Kluyveromyces lactis: one gene and its partners. The protein of the gene in region 1 interacts with the protein of each later gene in a biochemical or structural test. Links are inferred from orthologs where the notes say so. Each region holds a gene or a part of one and is shown in the gene's direction. Other genes may lie near its edges.

Region 1 (2,725 bases):
TTTGACATGAGCTGTGTCCATTTCACTAAAATAAACCCACATATCAGCTGGTATGCTGATCCCTTCATCGAGACAGTAATTAATAAACGAACACATCACAACGAAATGGAATTGTTCATGGTTTTTGATCACGAACAGAATATCTCTATAATCAGCCAACTTCCTTTCATTGCCTGGAATCAACTGCAATCTAAAATATTGAAACAGCACTTTCCAAAGAGACGTATCGAGCTTTGATATAAGCTTGGATAGATTTCGTAGTGCAATCTTATTATGACTTGGATCATTTTTATACAGCGGGATCTTACAAAGAAGAACGTAATCCACATACATCTTCTCATTGACCCATGTTGTACTTTGCAACCTCTCTCTGAGTGCTGAAAAATATTGCTCTGCGAGATCAATGCGATGAGTCTCTTCAATCAATAACGTAACAAGATCGTTAGTGATCTGAAAATCTTGCTCTAATGAAAGCTGGAAACCGCCATCCTTCAAATATCGCAGACATCGTATAGCCTGATTTATCAATGTATAATACTGACGAAGTTCCAATTCAGTTTCAATTTCCGTAACAACATCATGTGCAGTCAAAGTGTACTGTTTCGAGAGATGATATATCAAATCTAACTGCTGTGCTTTTCTGCTCAAGGACTTTTGATCAAAAGAGATCGGAACGTTTAGCAGCTCATCTTTGAAGGTGTCCATAGCTAGTATTGTGTATCATACATCAATCGGAAGCTATTTTCAGCATGGGCATATGCTGTTCTTGAGACACGTTAATTGACGTGTATTATTCTAGGGCAAAATGGTTATATGAAACTTTGAAATATATAAGGGAACCAGGATCCACGACAAAAAGAAGACAATAAGTAAACCACCGATGTACTCAGATCGACATGGTATAACTTCATCAAATAACAGGTTTGGAAATGACATGATTGAACTGTTTACAAGTCAAAGAAGTCTACTCTGGTGATTCATCATCATACTAATGAAAATTGATCATGTGACCTAGCTTCATCAGATTTCTTTCCCGCTTACAACTTTTTAACATAGGAAACCAAATATAAATCGTAGAACAAGTAGGAAAAACCAGTCAACACACAAAGATTGCAGTTTTAAGTCGTGTATTTCTGAGGCAGCCCTTTAAGTTATATCAATACTTGTATACTATCTGCTACTCCTACACGATCTATTTTTTTTGAAGACAGTTTTCTTCTTTGGTTTTCAAGACTTTCAATTGTTTGGTGAAATACTTCAAGAAGCCATCTTTCAGCGTTCGTTTATTATCAACTGTTCCGAGTATATCGTATCAAGTTAAACTCTACTACCGCAGCTTAGCTTAGAAGAAGATGTCAGAAGAAAATAGAATGAAACAGTTCCAAGAGGAAAACAAGATAGTATTTGATCCAAGTACACGATCAGTATGGGAAACTCAAGAAAAACAAGAACATGAATCTTTACCTGGAACAGATGCTAATGCGGAAGACGCAGATAAAGGTTCTGCCACTTCGGGAATCATACCAACCCTACAGAATATTGTGGCCACTGTGAATTTGGACTGTAGGTTGGATCTAAAGACGGTAGCATTACACGCTCGTAATGCAGAATACAATCCAAAGCGTTTTGCGGCTGTGATTATGCGTATCAGAGAACCGAAGACTACTGCATTGATTTTCGCATCTGGTAAGATGGTTGTTACTGGTGCTAAGAGTGAGGATGATTCCAAGTTGGCTAGTAGAAAATATGCCAGAATTATTCAAAAGATTGGGTTCAGTGCCAAGTTTACTGATTTCAAGATCCAAAATATTGTCGGCTCATGTGACGTGAAGTTCCCAATCCGTTTAGAAGGTTTAGCATTCAGTCACGGTACTTTCTCTTCATACGAACCAGAGTTATTCCCTGGTCTTATCTATAGAATGGTGAAACCTAAGATTGTGTTACTAATTTTCGTTTCCGGCAAGATTGTCTTAACTGGTGCCAAACAAAGAGAAGAAATCTATCAAGCGTTTGAAGCTATCTACCCTGTGTTGAGTGAATTCAGGAAGCTATGATGTTTTATTGGATGGTACTATAAAAATTCATTTTTTTATTTTATTAAACAATGCACTAATTCGATTCTCGGAGGTTTTGTCTCGTCTTCTGCAAGAAAACCCTTTGTTCCTTCTATCTTTCCTTCCTTATTGTCTTTTCATATCCATTCTGCTATAATAGAAGTCTTTATTATTGGCACCTTACTCTATGTATCATATAGTTCATACACAAATTTAACGACTAATAGCCATCGGTAAATGGTTTCCAGCTTGAGTTTGAAATGGATGAGGAATTCTGTCTTAGATAATGTTACAAAGTTAATTACATTTCAACAATATATTGAAGTTTAATGCTAGTATTTTTGGATCGTTAAGGGCAACATAAAACGATTAGCGGTATCCTTTATTTTCCAACTTGTTCTCCAACTGTTGTCTCAACAGGCGTTCTTGTTCTAGTTCTTTTTCGTATCTTAACTGAGTATCAGCTAAGATTCGTTTAAATTCTTGCTTCATCATTGAGAAAGATTGATGGTTAGAAGCAGATGTTGAGGATTTGATGTCACTGGATTCGGAAATTGCTTGTGAGAAGGATCTATCGATATCCATTGGAATTGATTGCATCTGTGAAGTGACTTTCGATTTCTCCTCGCGCTCCTTCAACTTACTATGATAGTGTAAGAGCTCTTCAGAAA
Region 2 (1,894 bases), on another chromosome or scaffold:
TCCACTGAGCTGAGTTCGTTAACTCAGCTTTTGCAATCTTATTTTACAACCTCCAAACATTGCCTTCCTGCTTTCAAGTTATACACTTCATATCTCCTAACAAACACTAGTTAGCATTTCTACTGTGATGAGAGGAAGCTGGGTGATTAACACAACATAAAGAATTTACGTCAAGTAAGGAAAGAGCTCCTGCCTAACAACCAAGGTCAACACTTATATGTCTCTGTCCTGTTGCTAATTTGAATATACATCTATATATATATATTTTCCAATCAGAATTCCCTTATTGTCCCTTGTTTGCATAGGTGATGCGATGTGTGCGATGTGTGTTGTTGTTTTAATTTTTTTTTTTTTATTTTCAACTTTTCTTCTTAGTTTGATTCGTAGTTTTATATATAAAGCATCAAAAAATGTGCCAATTTGGCGAGCCATATCATTTTTTTGCATAGTGAATGAAATAGCGATGAGTATTTTTTTAGTATATATTATTATACATAATTCAGATCTAGAGTTCAAGGAGGACAAAAAAGTGTAATACCAGGCATTTAAAAACAAAAGTTGACATTGTTAAATTTGTTTACAATCTGTTATCATCTCAAGTTCATCCAATTATCTAATTGATTACTACGTGAAGTGCTTGTTTGGTATATTGACTTGCAGCACAGAATTAAGTTCGAGAGTATTATAGTTTTTTCAGGGAAGCTTGCAAAACCAAAAAATAATAATCACAAGCTTTATCTTAGAAAATAAAGACCGTTAGAATTTCAACCATAAGCAATTGAAAACATGGTTGGAGAGGTTGACGACGTTACATTACCGAAGGCTACCGTTCAAAAAATCATATCTGAAGTACTTGATTCCGATCTAACATTCAGTAAGGAGGCTCGTGAAATAATCATCGAATGTGGGGTAGAGTTCATCATGATGCTAGCGGGTTCTGCTAGCGAGATCGCAGATAAAGAGTTGAAAAAGACGATAGCGCCTGATCACGTGATCAAATCCTTACAAGATTTGGAGTTTGATGAATTTATTCCACCATTAGAAGAGATTTTACATCAACACAAAGAAAACCAGAAGATTAGAGAGAGGCGGGATGCTAAATTCAAGAAATCCGGTTTGTCTGAGGAGGAATTACTACGACAACAGGAAGAATTATTCAGACAATCTAGGTCAAGGTTACAACAGACATCAGTATCGGACGCCTCAAGCAACGATCCAGAAGTTGGCGTAAAGGCCGAAGAATTCTGAAAACATAACAAACAAAGTGTTGCATTATCTTCAAAACTCACTCCTCTATACTTGACAGACTTGCTCTAGAAAAGTTTATAGAAATACTTGTGTAATAGTACGATTTATTGTTATATGAAAGAGTTTGAAAATTCGTTCTGCATTTCAAGGACGGGAGTATGTATGAAATACCTCATGTGATTGACTGAAGTGCGTTTATAGAATATGTATACCTGTCCAATTCTGAATTTGGAACGATTATACTCTGCCGTTTGTAGATTTTATCGGATCATTTTCTATCATTATTGGTTAAGGCACGCGTTCATAAGCTTGAAGTTACAAACTCAAGTATTGTTTTCAATGCATCTTGAGAGTCGCTGTCCATTGATTGCATCACAATATGATACCTTTCGGGATTATACTGCTGTAGTGATACGAAGAATTCATGCAATTTTGAGAATGGATCGATATCATCTAACGGAGAATCATTGAAGTCGTCGTCAATTTCATCATAGAAATCGAGGCCCTCATTATCATTATCATCTTCTGCATCAAATTCTCCATTTCCGATCTTTGTACGCCTACTCATAGCATCTGGAAGTTCCTGTACTAGTTTCACTAGTTTGTTGGCTAATGGTTTCATAAAGCCAGTAACGCAACTTGGTAA
Region 3 (3,625 bases), about 130 kb from region 1:
AAAGTTATAAACTCCGATTTTGATACTGGTGCTGTGTTCGCTACTGCAGCAGAGGACGGTGTTAAAGTTTGGGATATTAGAGCCCGAAACAATGTTGCGTCTCTTCAAAACGATAAAGCATCTCCCTTCTTCTCATTAGATTCAAGGCACAATATGTTAGCATGTGGCACAGAACTAAAGGATTACGATGCTGAATTGCATATTTATGATATAAGAAACTGGACTAAACCTGTGCGGTCATTTGTGGACTCGCATCATGATGACATTACAGATATAAAATTCCATCCATGCGACTCAAACTTGCTGATGAGTGGGTCTACTGATGGTTACGTCAACATCTATGATTTGACTCAAGACGATGAGGAGGATGCACTACATCAAGTTATCAACTTTGCTTCCATCCATTCTTGTGGATGGCTTGGCCCGAAAAGGATTTGGAGTTTGTCGCATATGGAAACTTTTGGTATTCACGAATTGAACGATAAATCAGATGAAATGATAGAGCCTAAACCACTAGAATTTGGAGACGTAAGAGATAAGTGGGGTTGTGACTATGTTATTGATATATACCCATCTTTCATTGCAACTGGAAAAACTCATGAAAGTCAAGGTGAACTCAAGATAATACCATTCCAAAATGAACAAGTTGATGTTTCTAGTGCCCTGGTAATACCTGATGCACACGGAAATGAAGTGATAAGAGATGTGCTTATTCCAAAAAATCAAACTTCCCTCCTATACTCTTGTGGTGAAGATGGTTACGTTAATGTATGGAAGGACACTACGAACTCTTTAAACGTTCCACACAACTTTTGGGATTATACACTACCATTCACAGCATTTGAAAACTCTGTCAGAGAAATTGAAATGGATATGGGACAAGAAACAATGCAGCACGAATCATCCTCAACATCTGAACAGGATTCTACTTCTACTGGTAGTGATGATGAACATAAAGAAAAGAAAGATAAGAAGGAGAAGAAGCACAGCAAGAAGAATAAACATGGGAAAAAAGATAGGAAGAGTGATAAAAAATCCAAGTCTAAATCCAAGAAGGAGAAAGAACACCGTTATAAACCTTATTAATATTGTGTATGCTATTATCTTCTTTTACATGAACAGTCTATTTAATGCCTTCGCATATTTAAAATATACACTTATTACCCGGATATATGTCACTGTGCCTTGTTTGATTGACGAAAATATGGAATTTTGTAATAAATATGATAGTAAACATTAATATGGCGACAGTGCTATATATTTTGATGAATGCACTATTCATTAGGTAGTAGCTAACATACAACAAAGAATCTTTGAAGCTACACTACCCAGCTGACAACCATGAGTAGTGTTGTGAATAAAAGCGCCAAGCGCTTTGTTCCTAAATTAAGAGAAAGACGGATACTGAACTCCACACCGGCTCCAACTGTGGTACCACCAGTGTCCGATGACATAACCAAGTCTACTGCTGAAGATTCCCATGAAAATGAAGCCGATAACGAGGACGGACTGAATGAGTCTAGTACAGATAATACGGAGCCAAAAAGAAGTGATGAAGAATCCAAAATTAACGAAACTGTTGACGAGGACGATCCACTAAGTCAAACAACTTTAGTCAAGAATTTGAACCCATCAAGAACCAGCACTCAGATACCGGTTGTCACAGTATCAAGTGCTACCAACCGCCGTAGGTCTAGTAGACTAGACTCGCTCTCTGGAACTAAACCTACTTTCAAGTCTGGTTTCATGGGGCCTGGTTCCTTGAATACGGGAAATGTACCAGAAAGAAGCAGAAGGCTCTCCAGTATATCCACAGGGTCACTGAGAAAGAAGAGTTTAACAGTTAATTCGGAGAATGATTCTTCACTGCAAGCAATTAAGCGGAGACGAATGTCATCAAGATCCTCAACCGGAAAAGGACCGGGTAAAGTTCAAAGGATTAGTATAGTATCACGGATGAGTAGTCCAGACGACGATTCATTAACTGCAAAACCAGCTGGTGACTCTGAAAACTGCGACGATATCTTCCAAAGAACTGATGATCTTTATCAGAAATACACCATTACCAATTTGAAGATGATTCCAAAGAAAATAGCGGACAAAGATTCATCCAAATACTTGATAGACGAAGAAAACTTTACTATGGCGGACCTATGTAAACCAACGCTTCCCATAGGTGAAATATCTGAGAATTTTAGCAGGGCTAAGGAAGCTGCCAAGCTAAAGATTGAAAGGAGAAGAAAACGCAGGGAACTACGAGAAATGGCTAGAAAAGAGTTCAAGTCCTTGAATGAACTAGTAACGGAAGAAGAAAAACAATTGAAAGAGGAAAGAAAGAAAGCCGCCCAGGATCTTTTTGATACGGAAGTGCCAGATGAGAAACCCCATCAAGGTATTCAATTGAAGATGGCCGCAGATGGATCTATGGTTGTTGATGAGGAATCTATGGTTGTCGACAGACATAAGAACGCGTCTCTTGAAAATTCATCTAAAGAAAAAATTCAGAACAATCCATTCGAAAATTTATACAATTCTGCTACGTACGGTCGTCAGCAGTTTACAGATCCATGGACTATTGAAGAAATGATCAAGTTTTATCAGGCGTTATCAATGTGGGGGACAGATTTCAATCTAATATCTCAACTGTTTCCTTATAGGTCAAGGCGGCAAATCAAATCAAAATTTGTGAACGAAGAAAAAAAGCATCCTGTCATGATAGAACTTGCATTGAGATCTAAGCTTCCGCCAAACTTTGAACAGTATTGCAAAGAAACAAGAAAAAATATCGGCACGGTTACTGAGTTCAACAAGCGCTTAGATCAACTACAAGTGGAACATGAAGAGCATCTAAAGCAAATTGAAGTAGAACGTCAAAATGCTAGAGAGCAAGACATCAAGCAACAAACTGTTAAAGAGCATGAAAGATCACAAAAAGGTAAACATGGAGGTAGGTACGATCAACTCAAAGGATACAGAAAATCGGAAATCGTTCTTGGATCTATCGATGACCTCAAAAAGAAGAGAGCTGAGGAAGCAGCTATTGAAGCTCAAACTTAGTATAATATTAAGTATGTATCTCTAAAATATTTGATCTGTCTTAAGAAAGGACTCTTTCAACCTGAATTCATATTCATGGAGTTGTGCAGACTCTAACATGTTGTCATTTTCTTAAAATTCAAGACGAAAAACACGAAAGTTTATTCAAAAAACCCTTTGCATGATTAAAGGTAGTGATTAATTAAGAGAAGTAACCTCTGACTGGCTTTTACTTGGTACGACAAGTATGACTGTCACCACAATAGAGCATAATAATAATGTTGCTATTAAATTTGTCTCGACAAACAGATCAGTTAGCCGTATCATCTCAAGACAACAATCTATTATCTTTCTCTATGTTATATTATCAATTATCAGACTATCATACGCAGATACATGGCCGGCTCTAAAATATGTGAATCCAATTTGTCTCCTCCTTTTCATTAGAGTACCAATTATAGATTCAGTACAGTCTATTGCCAACCAGGGCATTCAAATATCATGTTCGGGAGGGCTTTTGTTGTTCCCCAGGGATTGGAATTATGCATTATTCACAAGTATCAAATTCATCCCTCAGGATGAGATAGAA

What was found.
Region 2: the proteins of SPT15 (region 1) and NCB2 form a complex in vitro, tested with the Saccharomyces cerevisiae proteins (2 studies listed by BioGRID). The link is inferred for Kluyveromyces lactis from reciprocal best matches to the Saccharomyces cerevisiae genes SPT15 and NCB2.
Region 3: the proteins of SPT15 (region 1) and BDP1 form a complex in vitro, tested with the Saccharomyces cerevisiae proteins (2 studies listed by BioGRID). The link is inferred for Kluyveromyces lactis from reciprocal best matches to the Saccharomyces cerevisiae genes SPT15 and BDP1.

The regions. Positions count from the first base shown.
Region 1 is NC_006041.1:892,600-895,324, reverse strand, and holds SPT15 (TATA-binding protein), read left to right. Parts: upstream 1-1,352; coding exon 1,353-2,054; downstream 2,055-2,725. Other genes in the region: cohesin-loading factor complex subunit SCC4, read right to left, coding at 1-705; PEA2 (Pea2p), read right to left, coding at 2,424-2,725. UniProt on the Saccharomyces cerevisiae protein: General transcription factor that functions at the core of the DNA-binding general transcription factor complex TFIID. Binding of TFIID to a promoter (with or without TATA element) is the initial step in preinitiation complex (PIC) formation.
Region 2 is NC_006039.1:578,110-580,003, reverse strand, and holds NCB2 (negative cofactor 2 transcription regulator complex subunit NCB2), read left to right. Parts: upstream 1-786; coding exon 787-1,248; downstream 1,249-1,894. Other genes in the region: SXM1 (Sxm1p), read right to left, coding at 1,550-1,894. UniProt on the Saccharomyces cerevisiae protein: Component of the NC2 complex which represses RNA polymerase II transcription through binding to SPT15/TBP and thereby inhibiting the assembly of the preinitiation complex.
Region 3 is NC_006041.1:759,901-763,525, forward strand, and holds BDP1 (transcription factor TFIIIB subunit BDP1), read left to right. Parts: upstream 1-1,341; coding exon 1,342-3,057; downstream 3,058-3,625. Other genes in the region: KLLA0_E08449g (uncharacterized protein), read left to right, coding at 1-1,086; phosphatidylinositol N-acetylglucosaminyltransferase GPI15, read left to right, coding at 3,284-3,625. UniProt on the Saccharomyces cerevisiae protein: General activator of RNA polymerase III transcription.